7 linked regions of the Oryctolagus cuniculus genome follow. The protein of the gene in region 4 purifies or fractionates together with the protein of the main gene of each other region. This does not show direct contact. Links are inferred from orthologs where the notes say so. Each region holds a gene or a part of one and is shown on either strand. Other genes may lie near its edges.

Region 1 (4,161 bases), on a different chromosome or scaffold from region 4:
TTTCCGGTTTTGACCTGTGACCACCAACCTCGAGCAAGCTTCAAACGTATTTAATCATTCGTGAGGCTGACAGGATCTGTGTTCAACTGATTGGTTGTGTTATGTCATTCACTGCCTGGGCTTCACTCTGGCTGTTTCGAATCTGCGGCAGGCTAATTTTTAAGAGATAACCTGGTATGGTCTGCAAATGATGTTATAAATTTCCAAATGGCTCCCCACCCTGTCCCATGTTACTGAGCTGCAACAGGAGGGGGGGATCGCACCCAGCAGGTGACGGAAGGTCACAGAAAAAGGTGCTGAGGACTGACGATGGGGAATCAGCAAAGTGGGCTCATCCGGATCTATTTGTAAATAAGATTCAGGTAGAGCGATTTAACATAAGTGGAGATACTAATCCTTAAATCCCTTGAAAAATAGGGTGATGACTTGCCCCCCCCCCGCCCCCAACCTTCAATCCCTACTGGGTCCTAGGGATGTTAGCCTCAGTGGCTCGGAACCTCACCCGCATAACCCCACGTCTTCCGATGAGCTCATCCTTGGTTGGATAAAAGTTGTCCTCCATTATACTAATTTCTCTTCTAATTCCATTTTCCATTTGCATACATTGCTTTCGGAATCTGTCACGCGCTCCACTCACGGGATGGTAGCCCTGTGTGTAGAAGTTGCTCACGTCTGGAGACCACACCTGCCAAGCTGTGCGCTGAGAGCCACAAGTTACGACCCCAGAGGTGGACCGGGTGCGCCGACAGCGCCCACCTCGAAACCTAAGCGCTGGGTCTCCCTGGCAGGGGTGCGTCTTCCTTGAGGAACTGGCAAAGTCCTGTTCTGGCTGCTTCCACCCCTGCACGGTCCCTGCCCCCTGCCCCCTGCCCGGCACCGGACTCCTCCTTGGTACCTGCACCACCTGAGCGCACGCATCCTGGCCCTGCCCGCCCTTCCCGGGCGCAAGGCCCGGCCGTGCTGGCCACGGCTTTCTGACCACTGTCCTGTCCTGACCCCATTTTCCACCCTGGGTCCCCGCCGGTGTCGTGCGACAGGAGAAAGGAAAAGTTGGACGTGGTCACTTTGACCCCACCCCCGGCCCGGCCCCAGCTCGGAACCCCGGGGCTGCGGGGGCGGGAGGGAGACCCGCGACCAGCAGGCGGCCTAGGGCGTCCCCAGCGCCGCGCGCTGCCCGGGCACACAGGCGGGGCCCGCGCTCCGCGAGGCCTGGCCGCGCGCTCCGGCCCGCAGCGAGCGCGCCGGGGGCCCCCCGCGCGAGGCGGGGGAGGCGGCGGCGGGCGGGGCGCGCGGCGGCGGCGCGGACCCACGCGCTCGGGCCGCCCCTCCTCCCGCGCGCGCCCCGCCCCCGCCGCCGCCTCCCGGCCCCCGCCCTCCCGGCCTCCTCTCCCGGCCGAGCTGGAAGCCGGACCCAGGCCGCCGGGCCCGGCCTCGCCGCGCGCGCCCGCCATGGCCCGTGCCGTTCTCCCCTGGTAAAGATGGCGGTGCGCGCTCGCCGCCACCTTTAGACCCATGACTGTCCGCAACATCGCCTCCATCTGTAATATGGTGAGTGCCGCCGCGCCGGGCCACTAAGGGGACCCGAGCCGCGCGCACGCCGGCGCCGGGGCGCGGGCCAGGGCGCGGGGCCCCGCCGGAAGTTCCCGGCCGGGCCGGGCGCGCGGCCGAAGCCACCCCCACCCTGGGACCTGTGAGACCGGGGACCCGGGGCCGCACCGCCGTGCCCCCACCTCGGGTTGCGGTGGAAGCGTCGGGGGCCGGGAGGCAGCGACGCCCCGGGGCAGGGCTGCGGGCGAGGAAGCCCCGCTGTGCCCCCGCGCCGCCCCCTCTGGGTCCGAGTTCAGCCCTTGGGCTTCGCCTGAATCCACTTTGCAGCGGCAGTCGGTGGTGGTCTGCAGAAACCTGCCGTGTGATGGAGCTGTGGAAAAAGTGCGGTTGGGGAAGTGAACTTCAACCTGGCCTGGGAAGGCGCCGCGGTGGTGGGGTCTCATGCCGCGGTTTCCCCGTCTCTGCAGAGGGGGGCGGGGACCTGGACGGGCAGGAGGGCTCCGGGCTGCCCTGCCTGATCCCCCGCGGGCCACCGGCTGCTGGCTGGCGTGCACCCGGCCAGGGGCTCTGCAGTGGGCCCTGACGGGGGTCTGGGGCCGTGGCCTGGTGGGGACTGTAGTTTCTGTTTCTCCCATTGCTTTCTGCAGCAGCAGCTCCCACTGAGTCCCCAGAGCCAGCCCTGCCCGTCTTCCCCTTGTCATAGCCCTGGGGAGCCCGGCTTGGGGTCAGGATGAGTGTGTGTCTGCATGCTCCTGCCCCTTGCCTGGCCTTCCCCGGCTGCAACGCGTGCTCCTGGGGTGCCACTTTGAGGCCGGGACCCCGAGGAGGCTGGGGGTGAGGTGTGCCGGCCGCCCCTCCTCCATCTCGGGCTCTTCTCTGCTTCTGCCCCACATTCTGTTGCAAGAGCCACACCGGCAGAGGAGCACGGAGAAGCCTTGTGTTAGCTCAGGGGCGGCTTCGGCTCTTAGCTCCGTGGGACTTGGCCACACTTGGCCGGGTGAAGGCTGGGGCGTCCCGGAGTGACAGCGGCACAGGTGTTGACATGGGGTGGGCTCCGTGGGGGGCTCCTGTCTCCTCTCCCTTCCTCTCTTTTTCCACGAGGAAGCGGGTTTCCTGCTTTTTGTCGAGTGGCGTGAACGCAGCTTGGTGCCGCTGGAGGAGATGTTTTCTCCTCGCTTCCCCTCGGCTGCTGCCAGTCCTGAAGCCACAGCCGCCGAATGCCTGCCTTCGGGCCTGCCGAGTAGCCAGGCTGGCCCTGAAACCCTGGTGCTGTTGACACCGCTCAGTGTGGAAGCAGCTTGGGGGACGCCGGCCTCCAGCTGCACCGCGGGCTTCTAGCGCACCTGGCTCCCGTGAAACACGCCAGGGAGAGGAGCCGCAGGAGGACAGGACAGGCAGGGGGGTGGCAGGCCCTTGCTGTGTCCGCGAGTGGGACCCCCGTGTGTGCAGCCCTGAAAGCCTGGCGGACCGAGGAGCTGCGCGCAGGCCAGGGGAGTTTTCTGTTCGCACGCCGGTCCTGTGTGTGGGGCGCGTGAGGCAGTTTCCGCTCTCAAGGCCTTGCCACTGCTGCTTCTAACTTAACGCCTCCCGGTCTTGGGGACAAGTTGCTCTTCTTTCCTTATCTTCAGTAAAGGGAGGATACTGGCTCTTACCTCATCCGGACAGTCGTGGCCGGCGCCTCACTGGGGTGCTGGGGCCGCTAGCAGTTGAGGTCAGCACCATCCTTCTCGGACAGGCCTGCGGTGGTTTTGGGCACTGGGGAGATGATGCATGGATACTGACAGCCCACCTGCTGCTTGGTGCAGGCCAGGGGAGGGCGGTGTGTGCAGAGGCTGCTCGGGGACCCCGCCCCTCCCAGCTGGCCTCCCACACATACCTGGAGTGGGCTGGGGATGAGGGGACTGCTGTGTTGCCACCCCATCAGACCTAAATGTTCTTTACACCCTCTTTAGAGGCTTTCCTCAGTGTGAACTGTTTCCAGCGCTGTCTTCTGGCTGGCTCCTCCCAGGGCTCAGCTTCTCTCTGGGGGCTCGAACTGGCCCTGCCCCTCCCAGGTCCACACACTCCCAGCTGTTTGAGTCGTTGTAGTAAGAGCCCGGGGGATTGCATTTTCATTTTTTATTTATTTCTTTTTAAAGCAATTTTTATTTTTTTAAAATATTTATTTGAGAGGCAGAGAGATGGATCTTCCATCCACTAGTTCACTCCCTAGAGGGTTGCAGTGGCCACAGCTGGGCTGATTTGAAGCCGGGACTGGGTCTCCTATATGGGCGCAGGGGTGCAATCAATTGGGCCATCCTCTGCTGCTTTCCCAGGCGATTAGCAGGAAGCTAGATCGGACAGAAGTGGAGCAGCTGGGACTTGAACTGGTGCCCGCATGCTATGCTGGTGCTGCAGGTGGAGGCCTAACCCACTATGCCACAGCGCTGGCCCCTATTTCTTTTTTTTTTTTTCTAAGATTTACTTATTTATTATTAAAAGAGTAAACACAGAGAGAGGGAGGGACAGAGAGAGATTTTTCCACCCTGTGGTTTACTTAAATGGCTGCAAGGCTGGGTACCAGGAACTCCATCTATGTCCCTGATGTGGGTGCAGGGGCCCAAGCACTTCTGT
Region 2 (4,280 bases), on a different chromosome or scaffold from region 4:
ATCCTCTGCCTCTCCCAGGAAAAGAATCCTGGGACCCCTCCTTCCCGGGAGCCCTCCACGCTGCCCTGTGCAGATCCCATCTCAGCCCCTGCCGGGTGAAGAACACTCAGATGTTCAACGTGATGTCCCTGTGTCCTAAAGTGAAGTTCTTGGAGCTGAGGCAATTCCTCCTCACTGCTGCATAGCCAGCACATAGCATGGTGCTGAATACTTGCTGTTTTTTAAGCATGGTAGATGCCTGCTGAATCAGTGTTAATATGCAGAGTAGTTTTGATCGACACTATCTGAATTAATGCATGAATAAATGGTTTCAGTGACTCTCCCTGGCAAAAAAGAGACGCTTCTAGACACTGAGGACCAATGACTGAGATAAGGATCCTTGAGGAGGTCTCAGGGTTGACTCTATTTGCCTTTTCTACAGATATCACTTTTTATTTCTATTTATTGGAGAGGGAGGGAGGCAGGGAGAGAAAGAGAGAGCAAGCCAGTACATTCCTGGACCAGGAACTGAAAGTAGGTCTTCCAGGTGAGTGTCGAGGACCCAACCCCTTAAGCCATCATTGCTGCTGCCTCCCAAGGTCTGTATTAGCAGGAAGCTGGAATTGGGAGGGAAGCCCTTGCCAGGTATGGATCCTACCACTCCTGGGGGACCTGGTGCCTTAACCTCTCCGCCAAATGCCACCAACTTTCTACCCACCTCCAAATCTTGAAGCACCAGGCAGCATGGTGACTGGTTTATGGGAAGGGCCTTTTACAAAGACTTCAGTGTGACAGTGTGCAAAGCCAGGAGACACGGGTTCTAATCTGATTAGGGGACATCAGATTACCATAGGCAACTATCATGTCCCATAGGTCCCCAGTTTGAGACTTCAGGTTTCTGTTTCTTCAAAAATGATGGGGCTGAGCTAAAGATTCCCTAAGGCCCCCCGCCGCCCCTGCACCCCCCCCCCCGGGGGGGGACAGCGTGGGGGCCGCAGGGTTCTCACGGTCCCTGGGTATCCAAGGGAGGTGCCGCGTGCTCACCTGGTTCTTGAGGCGGGATGTTCTCGGGTCCGACCTAGCATCTCTAGCTTCCCGAGTTAGTGTCCTGGAGCTAACCTGGACTGCTAATCTAACGCAAACAGCCCGACCTGACCCCTCTCCCGCCACAGACCAGGCCCGCAGGACAGACAGACACGGTACGGCAGTGGGGTCAACGATCTTGCTTGGGCGTTAGTTTCTGTGGAGGGAAGGGCTGATGTGAGGGGGTGTCGGTCAGCTTCCTCCATCCATTTTCTCCAGCCCCCACAAAGGGCAAGGGCCAGACACGTGGGCTAGTGTGGGGGGGCGGAGATGCAAATAAACGTGGGCGGGGCCTTATTTGCATGGACCGCGCGCGGCCACCAATCCGGACACGCGGAGCGACAGCCCGCGCGCCTTTTGGGGGCGGACTGACAGCCCCGGGGCCCTATGGAAGGGGGGTCCTGCGGCCGGCGGGGGCGGGACCATGCCGGGCGCTGCCCTGGGGATTCGGGCCGGCTCGCGGGCGCTGCCAGTCTCGGACTGCGGTGTCCGGCGCGCGGGCTGCCTGCTGGGCGGGCTGAGGGGCGAGCGGCGCGCGGGCGAGGCGGAGAGAGCAGGAGCTGGCCAGGCACTGTGGAGACAGGTACCGGCGCCATGGCCGCAGGGATGAGGTGGGGCGGCCGCGGGGTCCCGAGAGCCCAATTCTCTCTTTTCAGGTTCTGCCGCTGCCCCTCACGCGGCTCCCCAGCCCGGGAGGGAGTGGCGCGAGGGGCTGCAAGTCCACGAGGTGAGCGCCCGGGGGGCTCCCAGCCCGACTGCGGGGGCCGCCGGGCCGAGGCTCCCTCCGGGGGGCCGCGGGAGCCGCTCTCCGCCCGCGCCGCGCTCCCCCTCCCGGTCGCGCCCGCTCGCCCTCACTCGGCTTTTGTTTCCCGCCCGGGGTGACAGGTCCCGGCTCCGGCTGTCGTCGGCGGACCCGGACTCGCCCGAGGCCCGGCGCTGCGGGACCCTCGGAGAAGCCGGGCGGCGCCCGAGCAGCCGCAGCCGCGGGCCGGAGCGCAACTTGGCCTTCCGGGACCGGGGCGGCCGGAGGCCTGGAGCCCGGGGCTGAGACGAGCGCCAGGACGCCGCGGGCGCGATGGAGACTCGCTCACCTGGCGGGCCCGCGGAGGGCGAGGATAACGGAGCGCCCCGGCCGCGCGCGGGGTGGCCGCCCGCTGGGTGTGGACGCGGGCGTGCCCCGCCGTCACCTGCCGCCCTGGCGCTCGTGCCTGGGAGCCGCACGGCCCCTCGGCGGGGTGCGGGCGCCGCGCCGCGCTCACAGGTGACCCGCACTCTGCGGTGCGGGCCGAGAGTTGCGGCCGGGGTGGGTCCTGGGACGCTTGCGGCTCCGTCCGCCCGCCTTGCCGGCCGTCCCGGGAGGCGTGCGCCCCGGACGGCTTGCAGAAGCCGCGTGCAGGACCCGGGCGCTGCAGGCTGCCTGCTCCGGGCGCAGCCGCCCTGTGCGGGGCGGCTTCGGCGGCGGCGGCGACGGCTCGGGCAGGTACAGCCTGGAAGGGGAGCGCGCAGAGCCCCGCTGCCCTCCGCGGGCCGCCGTGCAGTCCGTGGTTTTGGATTCGCTTTCTGGGCTGTGCTTTCCAGGGGAGTGAGGCGTAGCTCTGAATGGGAGCTTTCTTCGCTCTCTGACCTGGACTGTTTGCTTTCATTGTCTCCCCGCCTTGTTCGATGGGGGACCCGGGAAGAGTTAGGGCGGATTCGGGGTAGGGGTTTGCAGCCCCCCTGCCCCCGCGTTGGGGGTCTTTGCTTTAGAGAGTCAGAGGAGCTGCCTCTCTCGGGATGGGAGTCAAACTCCAAGGGTCGACCTGAAAAAAGGCCTTACCCTGGTGGGAGCTTTTTGTCCTGTCGTACTTTCCCTTAGCGTTTCCGTTTGTGTGTCTGCCTCCCGACCCCTGCCTAACCCGCCACACTTAGCCCTGACCAACCTGGGCATGCTATACAATTGTATTTCTAAAATTAGGTCACTTGTGAGACACACGGGATCTGGTGTGCTCGGTTTTTATGTTTTAAAGCGTCTTGTTTGATGCACATAGTGGATATGTTTGACTGCCTAGGAGCAGCGTTATTAACTTTGATTTAATTTGCTTATTTACCTTGCTAATTAGAATTATGTAACAGTTAATAAGAGGTCAGAACTCTTCAGCCAAAGTTGTGACTACTTCAGTGTAAAAAAAAAATAAAGATGATCTTTATAAATTGTTTTATTTCTCTGAAGCAATAAACTTAGATAACGGGGGTCTTTAAAAGTTCACAGAAATGCATATTATGAAGAAACTGTGTCTGGATTTCAGAATGTTTTGTACTGAAATAAATTCATCTTTTAATTCCACTTTTCCGTGAACTTTTTGAACTTCCCACGTATGTTGTAAGGGCTTTGTCTTTCCAGCATTTTGTAAAACAGGTATGTTTTTTGGAATCTTTAACTTTTTTTATTTATGGGAAATTTGAGTGCATTTCTTTTTTTTAAAACAATTGTTATCAGTTCAACATGAAAAACTTAATGAATTAGGCAACTAATTAAGTCTTTAATTTTCTGTTTACTCTTGAATTGGAAAAAGAATCCATGTTTCAGGCTTTTTAGTTTCCTGCAGGCTTCTCTACTTAGAATGGATTAGTCCGGAGAAGAACATCCTCTTTGTACACCCGCAGAAGTTATTGCTGTACAAGCTGAGCTGGCTTTCGGATGCTTAGGAAGGGTAGAAAGAACAGTGGCTTGTCCTCACATAGAATGGGTTTTGCCTTTACAAAGTTATAAAGGACTTTATGACACTTGGGCTTTCATTGTCTCTCGTTATTTATTTAATTGCTCTTTAGTGTAAAGGAATACATTTAAGTGCTGTGCTGTTAGAGCGTTGATTGTCCTTATCCTGTGATGGTGCTTTAATATGCCAAATATCGTCAAGTTATGTCTCGTAAGTTTGTTTCCACAAAAGTATATTTTAGGTACTTTAATTATGAACGTACCTTAAAATTAAAACCTATTTTAAAATTCAGTTTTTGCATATTTTAACTACTGAATTTTGTTCACTTTAATTTATCAAGCACATTTTATCTTCAAAATTAAGCACAAGCTGAATTCTCACAATAAACACTGGCAGGTTTTTTTTTTTTTTTTAAGCAGTTACCCTCAGGTACGGCTCCTTTTGATTGGGGGCTGGTGGTGCGAGTGGTAAATATTTTTAAGTGAATAACTTCACAAAAAAACAAGGACTTTAGCTAAATCC
Region 3 (3,500 bases), about 93 Mb from region 4:
GGAGCAGCCCCCGCGTTCTGTGAGGTGACGCCCCGTCTCTGGGCAGCTCCCGGGTGGCTTCTGCAGGAAACTCACCTCCTCTCGCTTTGCCGGGGTCAGGAGCGGCTGACAGCTCCGGAAGTCCCCGAGCAGCTTCAGAGCGTCCCAGTGGGGCACCTCCCGCAGGCGGGATGGGAACTGTTGCGGCCAGCACTGGCCCCATGGGTGGTGGCCAGCAGCCCTTGCTAGGGGCCACAGGGAAGGCCTGACCCGGCTCGCCTCCAGGTGGCCAGCAAGGCCCTTGTCTTCCGTAGGTGCCAGAGGAAGAAAAAGGCTTTTCTTGCTCTTGAGCATAGATTTGCTTCATTTATGGTTTCCTGAGAGTGACTAGCAGGCCCTGCGCTGTGCTCTGCAGCCCTGGCGGGGGACCGCACCTCGGCACCTGGCGCACCCGCGGGCCCCCGTCGTCACCCCGGGGCTCAGCGCGCAGGCCGCCATGGTTGCCGAGCCAGTCACTGCGCCTGGTTACACAGTATGTCCCCCACTCTCCGCTGGGGTGCTCTCCAGTGCGCTCTGCCGTCCCCTCCCGCAGTGGGTGTGGACAGTGGTTTTGTCATGTGCTGTGTCACTCACTCCCTGTTGTTGTGTGTAGGCTGCTCTGCCGGGACTCCGGGGGCGAGACTGAGTCCATGCTGCTCAATGAGACAGTGCCGCAATGGGTAATTGACATCACCGTGGACGTAAGTGGCCTCCCCGCCCACCTTCCCCTGCTGTTTTTGTTTGTTTGTTTGTTTGTTTGTTTTTTTCCAAATCATGAAATGAAGAAGTGCTTTAGACAGTGTTATCTTGAACTTTAATAAAAGCTAGACTGCCGAAGTGGAATCCTTCCCTGCCTGCCTGCAGTTCCCAAGTTGCAGAAGTATTGATAATTATTTGTTTTTTGTTTTTAATTATAAAAATAATACATCTTTTTCATTAAAATACTGAGTGAATGCAGTGAAAGTCCTGTCTCTTTCCCAATCACTCCTTCTCACCCCTTCACCCCCTGACCCTCCTCCCAGAGGTAAGAGCTAGGAATGATGAATGCATAGCCTTCAGTATTTTTTTCCTTGCACACACAAGCATATATTATTTGTGTGTATATTTTTCTGTGCAGCTCATTTTATTTTGCACAAGATCCTTTATACATACTGTTCTGCAACTTTTTTTTTTTTCCATTTAAAGCATATCTTGGCTACCTCCTCATGTCTGTGGACATGTGGGTCATCCCCCTTTAGTGATTGCAAAGTGTTCCATTGTAGGAATTCCATGCTGTATTTAGTCAGTCCCCTGTTGACACACATTTGGTGGTTTCCAATGTTTTCTGTTACAAACAGTGCTGCAGTGAACATCCTTGTACATGTATCTTTGTGTACTTTTTAGGATAAATTCCTAGAAGTGGAATTGCTGGATCAAAGGCTATGCGCATTTTCACTTTTGATATCTTTGCCAAATTGCCCTCCACAGACATGGTAGAGTTTACACGCTCACCAGCGGTGTGTGAGTGGCCCTTTCCCCACACCCACACCACCGTGGGACACTGCTAACCTCGCTGAGAGATAGGCAGATGTTTGGCGTTGCTTCCACGTGGATTTCTGGGTCCGTTCTGAGTGAGACGGAGTGTCTTTTCACAGCGGCCGTGATACCTCTTCTGTGAAGTGCCTGCTCCCGTTCCGCACCCATTTTCCTTTGAGATCTCTTGTCTTTCCTAATGATTTGTAGGAATTCTCTGTATTGAATATTAACCCTTTGACTGTTACCTCCATCTTTCAGTTGAATTTTTACTTTGTTCATGGTGTCTCTGGCCAGGTGAAAAGCTGTGATTTTTTTTTTTTTTTTTTTTTTTTTTACCTAGTCAAATTGAGCCTTCCTGGCTCTGAGCTGCATGACTTGTGTAGGTATTTCCACTCCACAAAGTAGCACAAGTGTTCTCTCCTCTCTTCTCTTCGAGTACCTTTGTGATAATGTTTATGTCCAGATCTTTATTCTTTGATATGAGGTATGATTCTGCTTTCCAGAAGGGGTAGCCAGTGTGGCAGCACAGCTAATTAAATTATCTATCCTTTTTTCTACTGATCTGAAGTGCAGTCTTTTGTTACGTACTAAATTTCTATACACAAGGGTCCGTTTCTAGACTCCCTTATGTACTGTTAACCTGTTTTGTATATTCCTAAAGCCATATGAAAAGAGATTTAATCTCCAGAACCTTTAGGAAGTGTGTTTTCTGTCCCAAATAATATCTCCAAGAACACAGAGCCAGTGTGACAGCTGGTGGACACTGCATAGTCTTCTCCATGTCTGAGCTCCCTGGAAAGCACTCCTCCCGTCAGGACACACTGGCAACTCCAGGCCTCGGGCTTCTTCCTGAGAGGAGACAGGTGCACAGGGTACACCAGGGAGGCTCGGAGAGGATCATGACCCTGAGAAAAGATGACCCTGAAAATGTTTTCATCTAAGTATGCGGTGGCCGCTAGGCTGTTGGCTGAAGTTTCCCTGCTTTCTTAAAACCTCCGACCTTGCTCTGATGGCAGAGGGAAAAGAGGAGAGGGCCTGCTTGGCCGTGGCGTTGGCCGATGGGCCTCACCCCTGCGGAGCGCCTGGCTTTGCTCAGGGTCAGTTTGTGGGTTTCTCTCACGACACCTGAGTTTCCGTTTGGGACTTTAGGTATCAGCCCATGTTTTACACTGTTGAGAGTTTGGTTTGTGTGGCTTAAAAAAATTAAAGTTATTTTTTTCTTCACTTTAGTACCTTGTACTGTTACTTAAGAGCCATACTATAATTTTATATTACCACTGAAATGACATGTAGTTTACGTATCTTTTGTTTCAAAACTCAATGTCATACTTTTCTGATAAATTTTCTCCAAGGCTGACTTAGATGTATTAGCTTACTTCTAAATTTCATGAAAAACCACTTTTAATTAAAAGTAATTATTACTTGAAAATCATGTTTTCCTATTGACAGCATTTTATCAGCTAATAGAAACTGTTATGCTTTTTTTAACTTTTAATATTTCAGAAAAATATGCCCAAATTCAACAAAATTCCTTTCTACCTCCAACCTCATGCATCTTCAGGAGCAAAAACCTTAAAAAAGTAAGTTCCTGTGATTTCACTTGGTCCTTGATGTAGTTAATTACTGATGAGCGTTGATTTCCCTATGGTTACTTTTATAGCAAAGGAGGCAAGGTGGAAGGCTGACTTTATGACACTGAGGAATCCTCTCTTCCCATAACCCGCAGATCAGGATAAACCTGCATGCCATGACTGCTTTAATGGATACTTAGGGAATAAGGAGAGTGGGGGAAGTGAGTCTGACCAGAGCTTTTCAGAAAGGCTTTTTGAAGGACTTGGGGTTTGTGCTGGACATGAGCGAATGGGTAGAACTTCAGAAGATGGCTACTCCAGGGGACGTGGTGTGGGCGGGGACGTGAGGACTGTGTACCTGCAGCGTGGGAGGGAGGGGAGCCGGCAAGGCAGTGA
Region 4 (3,500 bases):
CCCTGTGCACCTGTCAGTTCTTTACTCTTCGAGTCTGAGGTCTTCAGGTCCATAGGGTGCCTCTTCATGCCTCTAGCTTTAACACCTTTGCAGAGAAGGCTCCACTGCACACCTAGTGACTATCTATCGAACCGCTGTTGCTTCCAGAGAGCATCCTCGTCCTTTCCTGCCCTACGACACTCCTTTACTTGGGATGTTGCAAGGCGTTTGCTGGTTCTAGGGGTGCCGCCCCCAGCTCCTCACACAGCTGGCCATGCCAGTTACAAGCAGGTAGCATTCTTACAGATAACGTTAGCAAAGCAGAGCATCAAGCACACTTTTAAACTTCCTGGATTCTGCTATTGTAACTTTTCCCCAAAGTGTGGAATCTGGCAAAAACTCCCCTTGCCATTCTGACCATCCTTTAGATTTCCCCCCAAGAACCGACGGTTTTGTGTATTGTGTTTCGATCACTTACCCTGAATCACATAAGGCCCAAGATTGAGTCTTTAATTCAATATACCCTGTACCACATTAGACTGACTGCTCCCTAAAAGTGTCTACTATTTATTTAATCTTCTCTGCTCCTGGAACAGGCAGAGAACTAAAATGTACTCACTTCCACAGACATTTATAGTACATCTTAAACCTTATGGCCTTTATACCTAGAATCTGTCCTTTTCTCTGCCAGACTACAAACTTTCACCAATGGCTACCTCCAACCACATAGGGTTCTCTCAACCAGGCAGGACCGGACGGCCCCTCACATCACTGCTATGCCCCACATTGTTCACCCACACGGCAGGTGACTGACATCGTAGGCGATGCCTCAGTGAATGGAGGAGAGCTTCTGGACCCTTCTGGATGGCTTACTGGCCATGAACCTTATTATAATACAGACCCTCTGCAGGGTTTCTCAACAGCGACACTACTAACATTCTGGGCCAGAGACGTCTCTGATGTGGGGACTGTCTTGTGTACTGTGGGATTTAGCAGCGTCCTGGCCTCTGCCTACTAGATGTCAACTGCACACTCAGCCCCAGCTGTGAGGACCAAACACACGTCCAGATGCTGCCAAATGTCCCATGGTGTGGAGACAAAACTGCCTCCAGGTGAGAGCCACTTGCTGTATTACTCCAATGGAATACAAGGTATGAACAAAATAACTAGTTATATGTAAACAGACATTCACCGTTTAGAAGTTACACATCCCTTGGAAGATGGGACAGATAGAGATGCATCACTATTGCCACTCTACGTATGAGAACACCAGGGCCTACAGAGCTTCAAGGCAATAGCCCACTCGGGGCAGAGCATAGCTATGTGATCCAGCAGTGTGATTTCAGGGGTACAGTTCTCAATCCCTAACCCAGTGCTGCACAAAGGGGCTGTGAGGGTCAAATGGGGGTGATGCCCATCAGCCATGCTGCCAAGTCCCTGACCGACACAGAGAAATGTTTTATCTTCCTCTGCAGCAAATGTCTCTGGACACAACGGACAAGGAATTTGCTCCATGACACGGATCTGGAGCTCTAATTTTAAACCAACTTCAAAAATGTTCTTTGAAGGCAGCTGCTCCCTAACTGGTCTCTGCTATGACCTGGCCCGCTCCTGCCCAACATTCTGAGGAAAATCTCCCTCCTCACCTCAGTGATGATGGCCTTGTGCTGTTTAATCCTCTTCAGTTCTTCCTCACAGCTCATGACGTAAGATCTGGACAGAGGCAGCGGCTTCCCATTGCGACAGAGCACTGTTTGGCACTTGCCCACATTGGCAGAGGTCAAGGTGAAGGAACCACCTGGGTCCACAGGGTCATGCTTGATATGGCAAAGGACAGCAGAACCTCCGAGCTTCTGCCCAGCAGTTCCAAGTTTCCTGGAATCCAGAAAGAGTTCTGTTCATTTATCAGGAGGACTGCACCCCTGGTCCTACTGGGCCGGAGGGAGTCGGACCCAGGGATTCAGGAAAATCAGCCTTGTTCATCAAAGTATGCCCTACAGGCACCACTCAACTTCGCAGAGGAAGAGAGCCCCTGACACACCCAAACTGACAGGCGTCTGCTCACAAACAGGGGAGAGGTGACTTTACCATTAGAAGTCATAGGAGCCAGTCTGGAAAGATGGAGCCCCTGGATTGCTGTGTCTAGCTTGCCACGTCCATGTCAACGACACTGCCCTATCAGCACACTCGAAAGATGGCAGGACAGCTGCTCAATGCTCCACCCACTTCTCTAAATTCCCTCTGCTCCCAGGAGAGGAAAACTCAAAGGAGCAGTAAAGTAACAACAGTTAGCACACCACACCCACTAATATCTGTGCTTCACAGTAACCTGAACACCAGCGTGTTCACTGGCATGAACCTTTCGGTTCTAAACTTGTCCCTATTCCTGCCCTATAACAAGACTTTTGGGACCAGTACTATCTATTCTAGAAGATTCACAGAAAGAATGTTCTTGTAATCAAACACCACGTGCTTAGGATTTATCCTTTTCTCATGGCCACTGATCTGCAGACGTACTGAATACATGACATATCTGCAAACTTTGAAAATCAATAGAAGCAAAGAACTGTCACCAACAAATGGTGATACTTCCCAGGACCTGCTATTCTGAGTGGTAGAGGAGTAACACAGTTAAGAAAAAATAGGCTCCCCTGTGTGACAAGAGCAGTCTTAGGCACTGTCAGCAACCATGGAGTGCTTCAGGGTGCTGGGAAACATGGGCTGCCTACTCCCATGTGTTAGTTCAGGAACAAAGAACATTCCATTCTTCTAAGCACCAAAAAGCTCATCACTCACCCTGCAGCCTCTTCTTAACAAATATGGATCACAGGAGGCACACAAGAGATTCCCAGATACCAGGACTCAGTGTGGTTTTAGACCTTTCCCAGGCAGCTCTGTTCTCTCTTTCCAAAGGCATGGTGACTTGTGAAAGTACAGTGATCTGAGTTTCAGGTTCTGTTTCTAATTCTTATTTAGAACTTGATAGACTACAAAAAGGAGACTTCTTTGGGGATCGTGGAGGGTATGCGTGCATGGCATGCGTGTCTGTGCTGTGTGTGACATGTGTGTTTCTTTTAGGACAAGAATAGTAAAAACTGCAAAGTTGACCTGCCTGGTAGTTCAAACACTCTCTGCATTCTTACTGCTGGAGAGAAATGTTGGCCACACCAATTACTAGCTCTTACAGCCCTTTGCCTTGTATCTGTAACCTCAGTTTCTCTCCAGTGAAATAAGTACAATATTACTATCCCTAGGGGAAGTGTGTGAGGTATTTAGAGCAATGACTGTGCAGATTGAGGACTCACTATCTCTTAGCTATTATCGTCATCCCATTGCTAAAAGTATATGACCACTGGGAATCTGCAAGATAGGCGAGCCCAGCCATAAAGAACTACATGGGCCTGCCTCTGCTGAGCTCTTTAAGAAGAACTATTCATGACTTAGGTAAAGCTCTCAATGTTGCCTGAAACAACATTCCTCAGTAGGTATTTCTCCTACTCCCTGAGAAAAAGCAACTTCCT
Region 5 (3,500 bases), on a different chromosome or scaffold from region 4:
GTACCAATCCAAGCCAAGAGCCAGGTGCTTCTCCTGGTCTCCCATGCAGGTGCAGGGCCCAAGCACTTGGGCCATCCTCCGCTGCCCTCCCGGGCCACAGCAGAGAGCTGGACTAGAAGAGGAGCAACCGGGACAGAACCAGTGCCCCGACCGGGACTAGAACCCGGGGTGCCGGCACCACAGGCGGAGGATTAGCCTAGTGAGCTGCGGCGTTGGCCTAATCGTTCATATTTCAAATTGGATTTTTATGCTCTAGCTGCCAGTTGTATCGTATTTTATGTTTTTAGCTCCTTTTTACATGACCTGGTATCTTCTTTGTTCTGAGATGTCTTGCTTATGTTGTTCAGCTAGCCTAGAATCCCCTCTCCCTGCCTTACGCTCAAGGAGGAGCCACTGCCGCGGGCAGCCTGTGCATGGTTCATGGCTCCTCTGCTTCAGCCTTCACCCTGCCCAGGCCCAAAGTCAGGACGCCCCTTTGTTTTGTGTCATACTTTATATTACACTTTTCACGGCTCTTTCATGTATATATTCTCTTATTTCATCCTCCAGACAATCCCATGAGGTTGGTAGAACAGAGATTCTCATCTCCATTTTGACTGAGGTGAGGCTGGGAGAGTGTCCGCATGGCGTGTAACCTCATTCCTGTGCCCTGGGCCAAGTGCTCCGGGCTTGAGTTTGCTCAGAGATGCTTGTAATCTTGAGGTCCTTTCTTCTACTCAGTATGTATATTTGTTTGAAAATCAACTATTAGAACACTTGGCACAATGTCACAGGCCTCTTTGGAAGAAAGAAATCTTCAGAACTTCATGGAGGGGTGGTCATAGAGAACTAGAGGGTGAACCCCACCGTGGCACCCAGGGCAGAGAGGATGTCTTGGCATAATCACTGATGGGAACTGTCTCCACGCGTGGTCTTCACACGCAAGCAGGAGGGGGTGGGTTCCCCTTACTTAACAGTAGCAGCCCAAAATGTTCATTAGTCATGAGGAAGGGAATCTTTCTTGCTCAAAGGAGGGGACATGTTGAAAATAATTTTTATTTTTTAAGTTGCAGAGCCATGTGTTTTTTTATTTTTTATTTACTCATTTTAAAGGATTTATTTATTTGAAAGGCAGAGCAACAGAGAAAGAGACATGGATGGAGGGGAGGGGGCAGAGAGAGAGAGAATCTTCCATCCATTGGTTCACTCTCAAAATGACCACAACAGCTAGAGCTGGGCCAGGCCAAAGCCAGAACCAGGAGCTTCATTCGAGTCTCCCATGTGGGTGGCAGGGGCCCAAGCACTTGAGCCATCACCTGCTCCCCTCAGGGTGTTCATTCGCAGGAAGTGGGGGTCAGGTGTGGAGCCAGGACTCAAACCCAGTACTTCAGTACAGGATGCAGGTATCCCAAACAGCAAGGTAACTGCTGCGCCAAGTGCCCATCCCCCCAGATTATTTTTAACCCAAGTCAGAAATTACTTACTTTTGACTTTGGGGTGTGCGGGTATGTGTTTCTCCCCATTCCCTTTATGGGCAAACAGAACTGGGTTTCAAATGCCAGTTACTAAATAGGTATTGCCGACAGTGGCCAAGTTAACTTCTCCAAATGTATTTGCTCACTGGTAAATTGGGGGAAATACTGTCTGCACTGACAGATTACTGTGAAGATTAAATGTGCGTGCAAAGCACTTGAGTGTAGGCTCAGTAAGTGGAAGTTCCCTGAAAGCTAACACAGAAGAGGGATTGTGGCCCGGAGAGGGAACCGCCTGTGTACGGTTGGCCCAGCAGTGGTCGTCAGACTCACCTGGAAGGCTTTTAAACTGCAGCTTGTTGGGCCCAGCCCGTAGTTTCTGAGACACAGGGTCTGTGGTGCGGCTTGAGAATCTGCTTCCCAAGTCTCCAGGTGGTGCTGCTCTGCTGCTGCTGGTCTGGCGGCCACACTGGAACACTGGGCTGCAGGTAGCTCACCCGTGGGCGTGTAGGTGTCACAGCCGTGTCTGAGAGCGGACCTGTTCCGTGTAGAGTTCCTCTGTTAGGAAAGTGCTTGGAATGCATCCTGAAAATACCGAATGTAGTATCTGAGATTCCCCGACCCCTAAAACCAGAAGTCTTTGTCACAGGAGATAAGCTGTGATTTTTAACAGTTATAAACATAGTATAGCAACATCTAATTGGCTAAGGTATGTGAAAGTGTTTTTGTAATATGTGAGACAAATGTTAAGTCATAACTGAAATTTTTTAAATAACATTGTTTTTAAGATTGAACATCATAATGGAGTATAAAATAGTATAACTTAGATTTCTCCTATGTCAATGTACTGTTTACCGTATGTATTTTTCTCTTTCTCCTCCAGGCTGCTGACTTGAGTAAACCAATAGATAAAAGGATATACAAAGGAACACAGCCTACTTGTCATGACTTCAACCACCTCACAGCCACAGCAGAAAGTGTCTCTCTCCTAGTGGGCTTTTCCGCAGGCCAAGTCCAGCTTATAGACCCAATCAAAAAAGAAACTAGCAAACTATTTAATGAGGAAGTAAGTAGCACCCTGTCTCAGCTGTTAAAGAATCCCTTTAAGAATTTATACATTCTTACCAAGGATAGTGGACCTTGTTTTGTGCTTCAAGCTAAGCCCATGTTTTATTTGCTCGGCTGTCCTGTGTAGTGTTAGCCCCAGTTTCAATGTGGTGGATTAGTAGTGACCTCTGCCTGTTCTCCCTTGGGGTGACTGTTCCATGCATTTTTATGGAGTGTGTGCAGGTATCCATACTGGGGATTTAAAACCCTTCTGTAACAGGTAGAAATGATTATAACTTGATACTCGTAATTTAATTAAAACTATAGAATTCCCAGTGTTCACGTCACCAGAATAATTCCGTGCAGACTAAGAATCTGACAATTTCTATAGGCTGCTGCGGTTGCAGCTGAAGCTTTCTTGTGGTTGTGCACGCGCGGTTCGACAGGCATTTGACTAAGCAGCAGTTCTCTAACTCTGGGAAATATTCGCTGTAAAATCACCTTGGGCATAGTTAGAAATCCTGGCACTTAAAACTGGATCACATGACATAGATTTTGCCAGCTGTAGTATGTGTTAAGGTTTCCAGTTTCTTCGGTTTCATTCTGGAAGGAACCTGAGATAGCCATCAGTTCAGGAACATGTCAGAACTTAAACGCGCCAGACAGAATTTGCCAAAGGGATTAGTATTTGCAACAGTGATTGGAGCGGCTTTTCTCCCCAGCTGTCGCCATCACATATTTGATGTTCCTGCTCCTCTCTCAGTACAACTTCCCTGCGATTGGGAAGGATAAAGCGGGTTTCCTGAATGAGAAGCCCTGGATTCTAGTCTCTCCTGTGACTTCGGCCCTCATATGCATGGGTCGGGTTCTATGAGACCCCGTTCAGAAAGAACAGTGGTTTTGAACTGTTGCATGGCTTTAACGTCATTAAGGTAGAACAGAAGCACATCGTAGAGTCTGGTTTTTAAGAAACAACCTTTTTTGGGGAAGAATATCAAACTT
Region 6 (4,185 bases), on a different chromosome or scaffold from region 4:
TGTTTCAGTTTTACAAAGAGCTTTCTTGTGCCTAGCAAAAGTTGACTTTGTGTACAGTTGACTCTTGGGGGTTCTTCTGAATACGTAAGTTACAGAATATACCCAGATAGCTTCAGGACCCAAGCAAGGAAATGAGCTGGGGCTGAAGCTCGTCTATTTGGTCAGCACAGTGCTTTTTGTTTGAGCAGATAAGCCATTGCGAGGCTCTGCAGTTAGGAACCATGACATTCATTGGGAATTCAGCTGTCTCCTACATGGCGTCCAGGGGCTGGGAGATGCTGGGAGGGGTAGAGGACTTGCCTCTTGGCTTCCCTCCCTAGGCTTGACATGAATGCACAGAGGTGAAAACACGGCCTTAGCCACTAACCCGGCATCAAGGGCAGGAGGGAGAGTGCCTAGCCTCGCAGAAGGCAGGCACGGGAGAACGAGGCTGGCTACCTTGGCACGCGGCTGCACCCACTCGGCATTTCTTCACTCCCAAGCAAGCTTATAACAGAATCACTATGGAAACAGCATTCACGTAGCAGAAATCCATTCTTCATCCAAACGTAGCTCGCTTTGTTTTGGTGTTCGAAGGCTTTGAATCTATACCTAATTTTAGAGGTCGGCCTGAATTCGGGCCTTTAGCCCTGCTGAAATGCTGGAACCCCAGAAAAGCACCCCGTCACTAGTTCAGCTGTCAAACAATCACATCCAAAGCTACCCGACCCACCTGAAGTCCTTTCTTAAATAAAAGAAAACAAAACTGAGCTGCCAGACACGAAGAGCAGGGTGCATGTACGAATTTTTAGAAAAGTAGCATAAAAAAGGAGCTATCATCCCACTAACTAACCCTGCTTAAGTATGAATCTCTGACATTTTGCTGGGCTCACTTTCCTTGTTCCCGTGACACCATCATCACTGTCGGGCTGAGACCCTCTCCACTTCGCAGCTCAATTTGCCGATCATTAGAAACATTCTAAATTTACAGCGACAGGTTGACAAGCAGGCAGGCAGGTAGGGCTCGCTCCCTTCCCCTCCCCCACTACTTACCCTTCCTTTTAATTCAAACATACTGTGTTTATTGCCTCGCTTTTAAGTAGCTAGCCTTTTTGTAAGCTACAGCGTTTGCACCCAAATTCTGAACAAAGAAACAAACCTAGCGCTTGAGACTAGCCCCGGGATAGCTTCACTGTACAAGAGCAGCTTTTCTCTCTCTCCACACACAATTTTCCGAATCCTGCTCCAGGATTCGCCCAGCGGCAGCCGCCGCGGCTCCACCCGGTTCAGCGCCCGCAGCCCGGGCTCTGCGGCCCTCAGGCTCTAGGACCGCGCGGGACGCGGGCAGGAGGCGCGCCCGCCCTGGGCTCCGCCCCCGGCCGCGCGCCGGGAGGGGCTGGGCCCGAGTCCCCGGGCTCGCGCTCCGGCGCCGGGGCCGCGCGCGGGGCGGTCCGAGCGCGAGCGGGGCGGTGCCGCGGGGCCGCGCAGCTGCCGGGCATTAGGGCCTCGGCGGAGCCCGCTCCCCAGCGCACTGGGCGGGGTGTGCGGCGGCAGGCTTCGCGGGCAGGCGCGGGCCCCGAGGCAGCGGCTGCGCCCTGCGCCGGGGCGGAGCCGGGGGCGGGCGGGCGGCCGGCAGGCGGGGGCTGGGGCCCGAGGCAGGGAGTGCCTGAGCGCCGGCGGCGACGACGGCAGCGGCGGCCCAGCAGGCTCGGTGCGTGGGTCTGCGGCGGCTCGGGGGTCCGCCCGCGGGCTGCGGTGCGAGCGGGCGGCCCGGCTTCCCTCCTCCCCCGCCCGCCGCCGCCGCCGCTGCTGCCGCCGCCGCTGTGATTGGGTAGAAGATGGCGCTGGGCGGATGGAAATCCTAATGACAGTCTCCAAATTCGCCTCCATCTGTACCATGGTAGGTGCGGCGCGGGCGGCCCGGGACTCCTCGGACGGGCGGACGGCCCTGCTCGCCGTCCCTCAGCTCCGCTGGCGGGGGCCTGGCGCGGGGGCGGGCGGCCCGGGCGGGGGCGGTTGGACGGCGCGCGGGCGGGGAGCGCGGGCGATTAGCGGCCCCCGCGGCCGAGGAGGCGCCCCGCGGGCCGGGCTGCGAGGGGCGATCGCCGTGCTGGACGTGGCCAGGGGGCTGGGGGCGGCCACCGGCCTTGGCGAGCCCGGGCCGCCCTGCTCCGGTCTCTGCTGGGCGCAGCCGGCCTGTGGGAGCGCGGCGGCGGGCTGGGGGTCGCAGGGGCAGGGCCGCGGGGCCGCGCCGTCTCCGTTTCCGTGTGGCCGGGCGTCGGCGGCGGGGGCGGGGGTCTGCGGGCAGGAAGGAAGGGTCTCGGCCGGCCGGGCTGGGCAGGCTCGCTGCTGCCCAGGCGAGGACGGAAGTCAAGTGTAGGTTTGCTTCTGGTGGCTGTGGCCAGGCAGAAGTGCGACCCCGTGCCAGGGGCGCCGTGAGTGTGAGTGTAGGTGGAAACTTTAAGTAAGTGGCGTGGCCGTTCTCTGCGTTTTCTGCTCGCCCAGAGGAACCCCGTTTCCAGCGTGTGTCCAGGTGTCAGGCTTGGCCCCGGCATCCACTTTAATCTCGGAAAAGCAGCTTTCCTCTCATTTGCTCACTTTAATCCCCCAGGCGCATCTGTGTGCAGCGGCCAGCGTCCCGTTGCGGGGCTGACTGCAAGGGCGGTGGTATTTGTTTCATTAGGGCCTTTTGAACAGACTTCAAGGGAGAAGTGCGGATGCGCCTTCGGAGTCTCCAGTTAAGCTTTCTGAGTGCATGTAGAACTTGGTGTTTCTGTGCCTGGCCCGAAGGACCACATTTTTCCACATGATGGGGCAACTTCCTTTCATTAGCTCCTTAAGAGCTTATATGTCGGGATCGTAATTTATGAGTCATCGCCCAAAAAAGTTATTCTTTCCTACGTGAGCCTGGTGGTTATGGTACTGAAGACTTGTGAAGTCTTTTGTTCCTGGTCTCACGAGCTCTTTTTCACGCGTCGCAATTCCTAAGAGATCCCGGGGCAGCCTTGCACCTAATGTCTCCCTACTTTGAGCAGTTAGGTCGCAGAGATGCTTGTAAGAGGCAGTTTCTCTCCTGGGTGTTGAGGAATAATTTCAAAATATGGCCGAAATCAGGTGGGCTTAAAATCTACCCTGGACAAGGAAGAAGTCATGTGGAAGAATGAGTCATTGAAGAATCCCTTTCCCCAAACGGGTGTTTGTTCTTTCTCACGATTTACATTTGAGGAACGCATTGGTGAAGGGACTCTATTAAAATGATTTCCAAGGTTGGTGTGAGCTCGTTATTTGTAGACACGCCAGTTATTATCTGTCGATTTCAAAGTGAATGTGATAATTAAGTCTTTGACAGTGATAATTTTGCCAAATGGCTGAGTGTGCACCTCGTGGGGTCATAGTTCATTGTCAAAGGCTAGGGTTTCAGGATTGGGTGATCCTCTTTACTGTTCATTCATGTGCTAAAAACTGTGCTGAGTGCTGGGGATCCCATAGTTTCTGCTTTCATGGTGTTTACCTTCTAGTCGAGGGAGGCAGACACTATTCAAGTCTCTCTGTCTCTGTGTGTGTGTGTGTGTGTGTGTGTATTTGCTGAAGTCACATCAGGAAAACGAGGCACAGAGCTTTGCAAGGTCATACATTATGTCAGTGGCATTCTGATCTGAAGAATGTCAGACTGTGAGGCTCTTTCTAGGGTTTCCACCCAGTACATTAATTGCAGATTGGTGCACTTATTGTTGGCAAAATGTCCATGCCTGGCCAAGTGAGGCTGTTCCAAAGGTGCTATTAAAATTGGGTGTGTCTTTATTCATATTTGAATAAATTCTAATGGCCTCCCAAATAGTACTGAATTTCTGGAAGTAGGTTATAAGTTATTCTTTAAATGCAGCTGTCAAGCATCTTGTGAGAATTACAAAACTGAAAATCCAGAACAGCGAAGTTACTTATCTCTATGCTGTTTTTGCCAGACTGGGAACACCCTACCGTGTCCTTGTGTGGCAAGTGTGTACCTGTCTCTGTTACACAGGTAGCCTTCCTTGAATAACCCTGCCCCTGTCCAAAACCACCCCTCCCCATTCCTCATCATAGAAATTCACAGAGTTTTTGTAATCTCAGTAGCATTTACCATACTGTCTTGTAGAGTTTCCTCATCTCTTGTTAGGTTGGGAGGGCTTTCAGGAGAAGGACTATAATTTATTTATGCTGTTTTAT
Region 7 (3,940 bases), on a different chromosome or scaffold from region 4:
CTTCTGGCTTTCCCACATGGGTGCAGGGGCCCAAGCACTTTGGCCATCTTCTACTGCTTTCCCAGGCCACAGCAGAGAGGTGGAGAAGCCAGGACTCGAACCAGTGCCCACAGGGTATACTGGCACTGCAGGTGGCGGATTTACCCACTCTGCCACAGCACTGGCCCCCAAAGAGCTTTTAAAAGACAGGAAGATGGAAGGAGACAGGGCTCCCACCTGCAGTTCACTCCCCAAATGGCTTTAAGGTCTAACATAGCGTCAAAGCTGGGCCTGGAGAACTTAATCCACGTCTCAGTGGGTAGCAGGAACCAAAGCACTGCATGCATCACGGGCTGCCTCCCGGAGTCTGCATTAGTCAGTAGGAATCTGGAGACAGGACCCCGACCCATTATGGAACGCAGATACTCAGCCCATGGGGATTCAGGACTCTTAAGTCAGCATCTCAACTATAGGCCAAAATATCAGGCCCCTGCAATCCTTTCCGTTGACCAGGAAGCCCAGAATTTTACTTCAGATATCCTGTAACGGGACCCTCCTCTCCATCCCTAAAATGTCACCACCTATCTCAGATTTATTTATTTGACCCATGTTTCAAGTTACCTCCCAACAACTTTCCTCTTTAATCTTCCACGATGAGAGTGATAACACCTAAAACATGCAAATCTGGCGGAATTCCCTTTCGTAATTAAAAATCTTAACAACACTCAAGCAGTTGAGTATACCGCAAGCAGCCCTTTATGACCTAGCACTTAACCTACCTCTCCAGCCCTATGGTTTTTTTTTTTTAACGTGAATTTAAGCTCTAGAAACTTGGGAGCTCACTAGGTTTTCAAACACATCCTATTTTCTGTCTGAATTGCCTTTCCACATCGTTCATCAACTAATCGGAGGCACGGCTCGAGTATGACATCTTTCAGGAAGCCATCTCCACATCTCATATTCAGTTAAGTGCTCCCTCTTAGACGCATCAGATTTAGTGTAAGCTCCTTGAGGACATTAACATCTTTAAATCCTGGGGATTGGTGCGAGTTTAGATAGAGCACTGACACTAAAGCTCAGTTCTGTATCTTGACTGACAGAGCCACTCACTTTCAGCCCTTCCTGCTCCTCCTGGACACCCACCCGTCCCGTGGAGCTCGATGGAAACTTCAGGAACAAGTCTGCATACGTCAAAGTGTGGGTCGCGGGGGCTGGGGGTAATGGCGCTGCTGTCTATGGGAGCAAACAGCAGAAGCCACACAAGTTCAGGTCACTTTCCCTTCAGTGGCTTGTAGGAAAGGTCCCCGCCCACCTCCCGCCCGCCTTGGTCTGGGAAACTCACTAGAAAGCAAGCCTGCGCTGTGGGGCTCTAGGGAATGTACACTGGCAAACTGGCATCAGTGCATCTACCCGGGAACCAGAAGCTTCTCTTCCCTCTAGGCCCTGTAAGGGCTGTACGACTTCCGGCGAGTCCCGGCGCGTTAGCGTCTCATCGCAACGATCGCGGGAATCAAAGCAACATCCGGGACTTTGCTCCCGGAAACGATCGCGCAAGCCTCGAATGACGTTAAGGGTCACGAAAGGCTTGGTTGCCTAAGGCAGCCATTATGAGAGTGTAGCTTACTATGACTTGTTCACGGGCAGCAAAAGCCTCCCTCCCAACTCCAATCGGCACACATTCCTGAGGGGCAACAGTACGTCATAAAATGGTTTTGACCTAGTGCTCCTGAAGACTGTTGGAGCGCATGCGCAACGCACGCGATGGACGAGACGGCGGACTGGACAATTGAGGCCTCCGTAGGCAGGGCTGTGAGGGGCGGGACTGTGAGAGCTGGTCACGGGACCGCGGGTCAGGCCCGCAGAATGGGTCCTCCACCTTCCCAGCCAGCCCTGCGCTGCTTGTCGCCTCCCCTCCCCTAGCTGCACGCTGCGTGGCTGCTCGTTGGCTACTTAGGACGGAAGCTCGGTTGGTGTTTCTCCAGAAGTTTCCCCCTTGGGCGGCGGCGGAGCGGTAGCCGCGGTAGCAGCAGCAACGACTATCAGGGATGGCGGCGGCTGCAGGAGGACCTGCAGCAGCCCAGAGGTGCGTGGCGTTTCGTTTTATTTTTTTTTTCCTCCCTTTACTATGTATTTAATATCCTTGCCTTGGTTAGTGAGCCCTGCTTAAGTCGTTCTTTTCCTAGCAGGGTTGCCCAGACCTTCCCAGATGCGGTGATCGACGAGGACCCCCAGGCGGCGTTAGAGGTGAGGGATCCCGTTTCTGCCTTCTCCGTTCTCCTGAGGGGAATGGGACTGCGTCGGGTTCTGGCTGACCCCGCCTCTTCCTAGCGCTACCTTCCCGGGATCGGGGCTGCTGCTTTTACTGTGTCTCAGCCCCTTGTGTTGGGATCCTTGGTCCCACAGTGGACCCCTCGCATCCCTGTTCTTGCCCTTCGCGCTCCCAGACGCCCCCATTCCCACAGCTTCTTCCGAACACAACCTGTGTTTTACTTCGTGGGAGCAAGAGAAGTGAAATCTGGACTTGGTATTAGTTGATTTAGTTTCCTATTTGATACTCATCCTTGCTGTTCTGTACCGGGCCCTATGGTAAGGGTCCGTGAACGGAACAAAAACCTTTAACTCGTGCCCTTGAAACTTTCCAGATGTCTTATCACTGTTGATTATTCACTCGTTTGTTGATTCATCAAAAAATTTTTTTAGAGTTGGTTGTGTGCAAGGCACGGATTGCTATGGGTTAAAGTCTTACCTTATGTATTTAAGAAAGCACGTTGTGTTTTTGTGCAGTTGGAAGAGGCGTTATATAGCTGAAAAGGGATATGAAAGAGTGGGAGTTAATAATAGAGAGAACCTGAGCTGAGGTGCCATGGGTCACAAAATTTAGCCGGGACGTTTCTTTTAAGCACAGGAGAGGAAATTGTTACATTGTTACTCTTGAACATAACAATTTGAGGCTAGAGAATCGTTTTCCCAACTGTGACTTCTAAAAGAACTTTGCCGCTAAGTACCAGAGTCTTTCCCCGGAGTTGAAACTTGACCCAGACCTGAAGCATCAAAGGAATGAGCTTGGAAGCTCTAGGGGAAGGAACGTTCTAGGCAGAAAGAAGAGCCTGTGATAGGAATAAGTTGGTCTATTCCAGGAGGCAAATAGACCAATCTGATTATAGTGGGATGAAAGAAGAAGAGGTAAGGTGGGACTGGAAACCAGGGCCAGATCAGGCAATGGTTTTTTTTTTTTTTGCATCCACGATAGTAATAATGTTACTGGAAGCTTGGAGAATTTTTTTTCCCATAATTTCTTATGTTAGCTTATTTTCTGAATATACATTTGTGATAGTCCTGTTAGGCCCATTGCTTTCTTTACAAATCCAGGCTATATAAAAGTTGCCTTTAAAAGATACAGGCCGGCGCCGCGGCTCACTAGGCTAATCCTCCGCCTTGCGGCGCCGGCACACCGGGTTCTAGTCCTGGTCGGGGTGCCGGATTCTGTCCCGGTTGCTCCTCTTCCAGTCCAGCTCTCTGCTATGGCCTGGGAGTGCTGTGGAGGATGGCCCAAGTGCTTGGGCCCTGCACCCTCATGAGAGACCAGGAGAAGCTCCTGGCTTCGGATCAGTGCCGTGCGCTGGCCGCAGTGGCCATTGGAGGGTGAACCAACGGCAAAGGAAGACCTTTCTGTCTGTCTCTCTCACTGTCCACTCTGCCTGTCAAAAAAAAAAATAATAATTACATAATGAATTCCATTGTCACATTACATCTTTCTTTAGCTTTTAAAGTTTTTGTTGATGTATGATATCTGTAGATAACAGGTCTTAATAACTTGATGAATTTTTACATGTATACACTACCTAGATCAAGAGAGAGAACCTCTCCATCCATAGAGCTCCTTCCCTCACTCTCCAGTTGACTCCTTGTCAGACTTCCATCACCATCAGTTAGTTTTACTTGTTCTTGCATTCATAAACAG

The links.
Region 1: the proteins of PHLPP1 (region 4) and USP46 purify together in Homo sapiens (affinity purification with mass spectrometry; 7 studies listed by BioGRID and IntAct, counting the BioPlex papers as one, with this or other methods). This does not show direct contact. The link is inferred for Oryctolagus cuniculus from reciprocal best matches to the Homo sapiens genes PHLPP1 and USP46.
Region 2: the proteins of PHLPP1 (region 4) and FKBP5 purify together in Homo sapiens (affinity purification with mass spectrometry; 4 studies listed by BioGRID and IntAct, with this or other methods). This does not show direct contact. The link is inferred for Oryctolagus cuniculus from reciprocal best matches to the Homo sapiens genes PHLPP1 and FKBP5.
Region 3: the proteins of PHLPP1 (region 4) and WDR48 purify together in Homo sapiens (affinity purification with mass spectrometry; 5 studies listed by BioGRID and IntAct, with this or other methods). This does not show direct contact. The link is inferred for Oryctolagus cuniculus from reciprocal best matches to the Homo sapiens genes PHLPP1 and WDR48.
Region 5: the proteins of PHLPP1 (region 4) and WDR20 purify together in Homo sapiens (affinity purification with mass spectrometry; 4 studies listed by BioGRID and IntAct, with this or other methods). This does not show direct contact. The link is inferred for Oryctolagus cuniculus from reciprocal best matches to the Homo sapiens genes PHLPP1 and WDR20.
Region 6: the proteins of PHLPP1 (region 4) and USP12 purify together in Homo sapiens (affinity purification with mass spectrometry; 4 studies listed by BioGRID and IntAct, with this or other methods). This does not show direct contact. The link is inferred for Oryctolagus cuniculus from reciprocal best matches to the Homo sapiens genes PHLPP1 and USP12.
Region 7: the proteins of PHLPP1 (region 4) and SUGT1 purify together in Homo sapiens (affinity purification with mass spectrometry; 5 studies listed by BioGRID and IntAct, with this or other methods). This does not show direct contact. The link is inferred for Oryctolagus cuniculus from reciprocal best matches to the Homo sapiens genes PHLPP1 and SUGT1.

What each region holds. Positions count from the first base shown.
Region 1 is NC_091439.1:110,974,036-110,978,196, forward strand, and holds the start of USP46 (ubiquitin carboxyl-terminal hydrolase 46), read left to right. Parts: upstream 1-1,361; 5' UTR 1,362-1,512; coding exon 1,513-1,548; intron 1,549-4,161. UniProt on the Homo sapiens protein: Deubiquitinating enzyme that plays a role in behavior, possibly by regulating GABA action. May act by mediating the deubiquitination of GAD1/GAD67.
Region 2 is NC_091436.1:133,767,754-133,772,033, forward strand, and holds the start of FKBP5 (peptidyl-prolyl cis-trans isomerase FKBP5), read left to right. Parts: upstream 1-1,480; 5' UTR 1,481-1,645; intron 1,646-4,280. UniProt on the Homo sapiens protein: Immunophilin protein with PPIase and co-chaperone activities. Component of unligated steroid receptors heterocomplexes through interaction with heat-shock protein 90 (HSP90).
Region 3 is NC_091441.1:108,252,463-108,255,962, reverse strand, and holds part of WDR48 (WD repeat-containing protein 48), read left to right. Parts: intron 1-631; coding exon 632-719; intron 720-3,036; coding exon 3,037-3,113; intron 3,114-3,500. UniProt on the Homo sapiens protein: Regulator of deubiquitinating complexes, which acts as a strong activator of USP1, USP12 and USP46. Enhances the USP1-mediated deubiquitination of FANCD2; USP1 being almost inactive by itself.
Region 4 is NC_091441.1:15,588,033-15,591,532, forward strand, and holds part of PHLPP1 (PH domain leucine-rich repeat-containing protein phosphatase 1), read right to left. Parts: intron 1,855-3,500; coding exon 1,626-1,854; intron 1-1,625. UniProt on the Homo sapiens protein: Protein phosphatase involved in regulation of Akt and PKC signaling.
Region 5 is NC_091451.1:45,449,689-45,453,188, forward strand, and holds part of WDR20 (WD repeat-containing protein 20), read left to right. Parts: intron 1-549; coding exon of another isoform or gene 550-601; intron 602-2,334; coding exon 2,335-2,517; intron 2,518-3,500. UniProt on the Homo sapiens protein: Regulator of deubiquitinating complexes. Activates deubiquitinating activity of complexes containing USP12. Anchors at the base of the ubiquitin-contacting loop of USP12 and remotely modulates the catalytic center of the enzyme.
Region 6 is NC_091440.1:87,334,965-87,339,149, forward strand, and holds the start of USP12 (ubiquitin carboxyl-terminal hydrolase 12), read left to right. Parts: upstream 1-1,385; 5' UTR 1,386-1,831; coding exon 1,832-1,879; exon of another isoform or gene 1,880-4,185. UniProt on the Homo sapiens protein: Deubiquitinating enzyme that plays various roles in the regulation of the immune response and inflammation.
Region 7 is NC_091440.1:60,191,185-60,195,124, reverse strand, and holds the start of SUGT1 (protein SGT1 homolog), read left to right. Parts: upstream 1-1,140; 5' UTR 1,141-1,158; intron 1,159-1,321; exon of another isoform or gene 1,322-1,457; intron 1,458-1,769; exon of another isoform or gene 1,770-1,899; 5' UTR 1,900-2,024; coding exon 2,025-2,062; intron 2,063-2,162; coding exon 2,163-2,223; intron 2,224-3,940. UniProt on the Homo sapiens protein: May play a role in ubiquitination and subsequent proteasomal degradation of target proteins.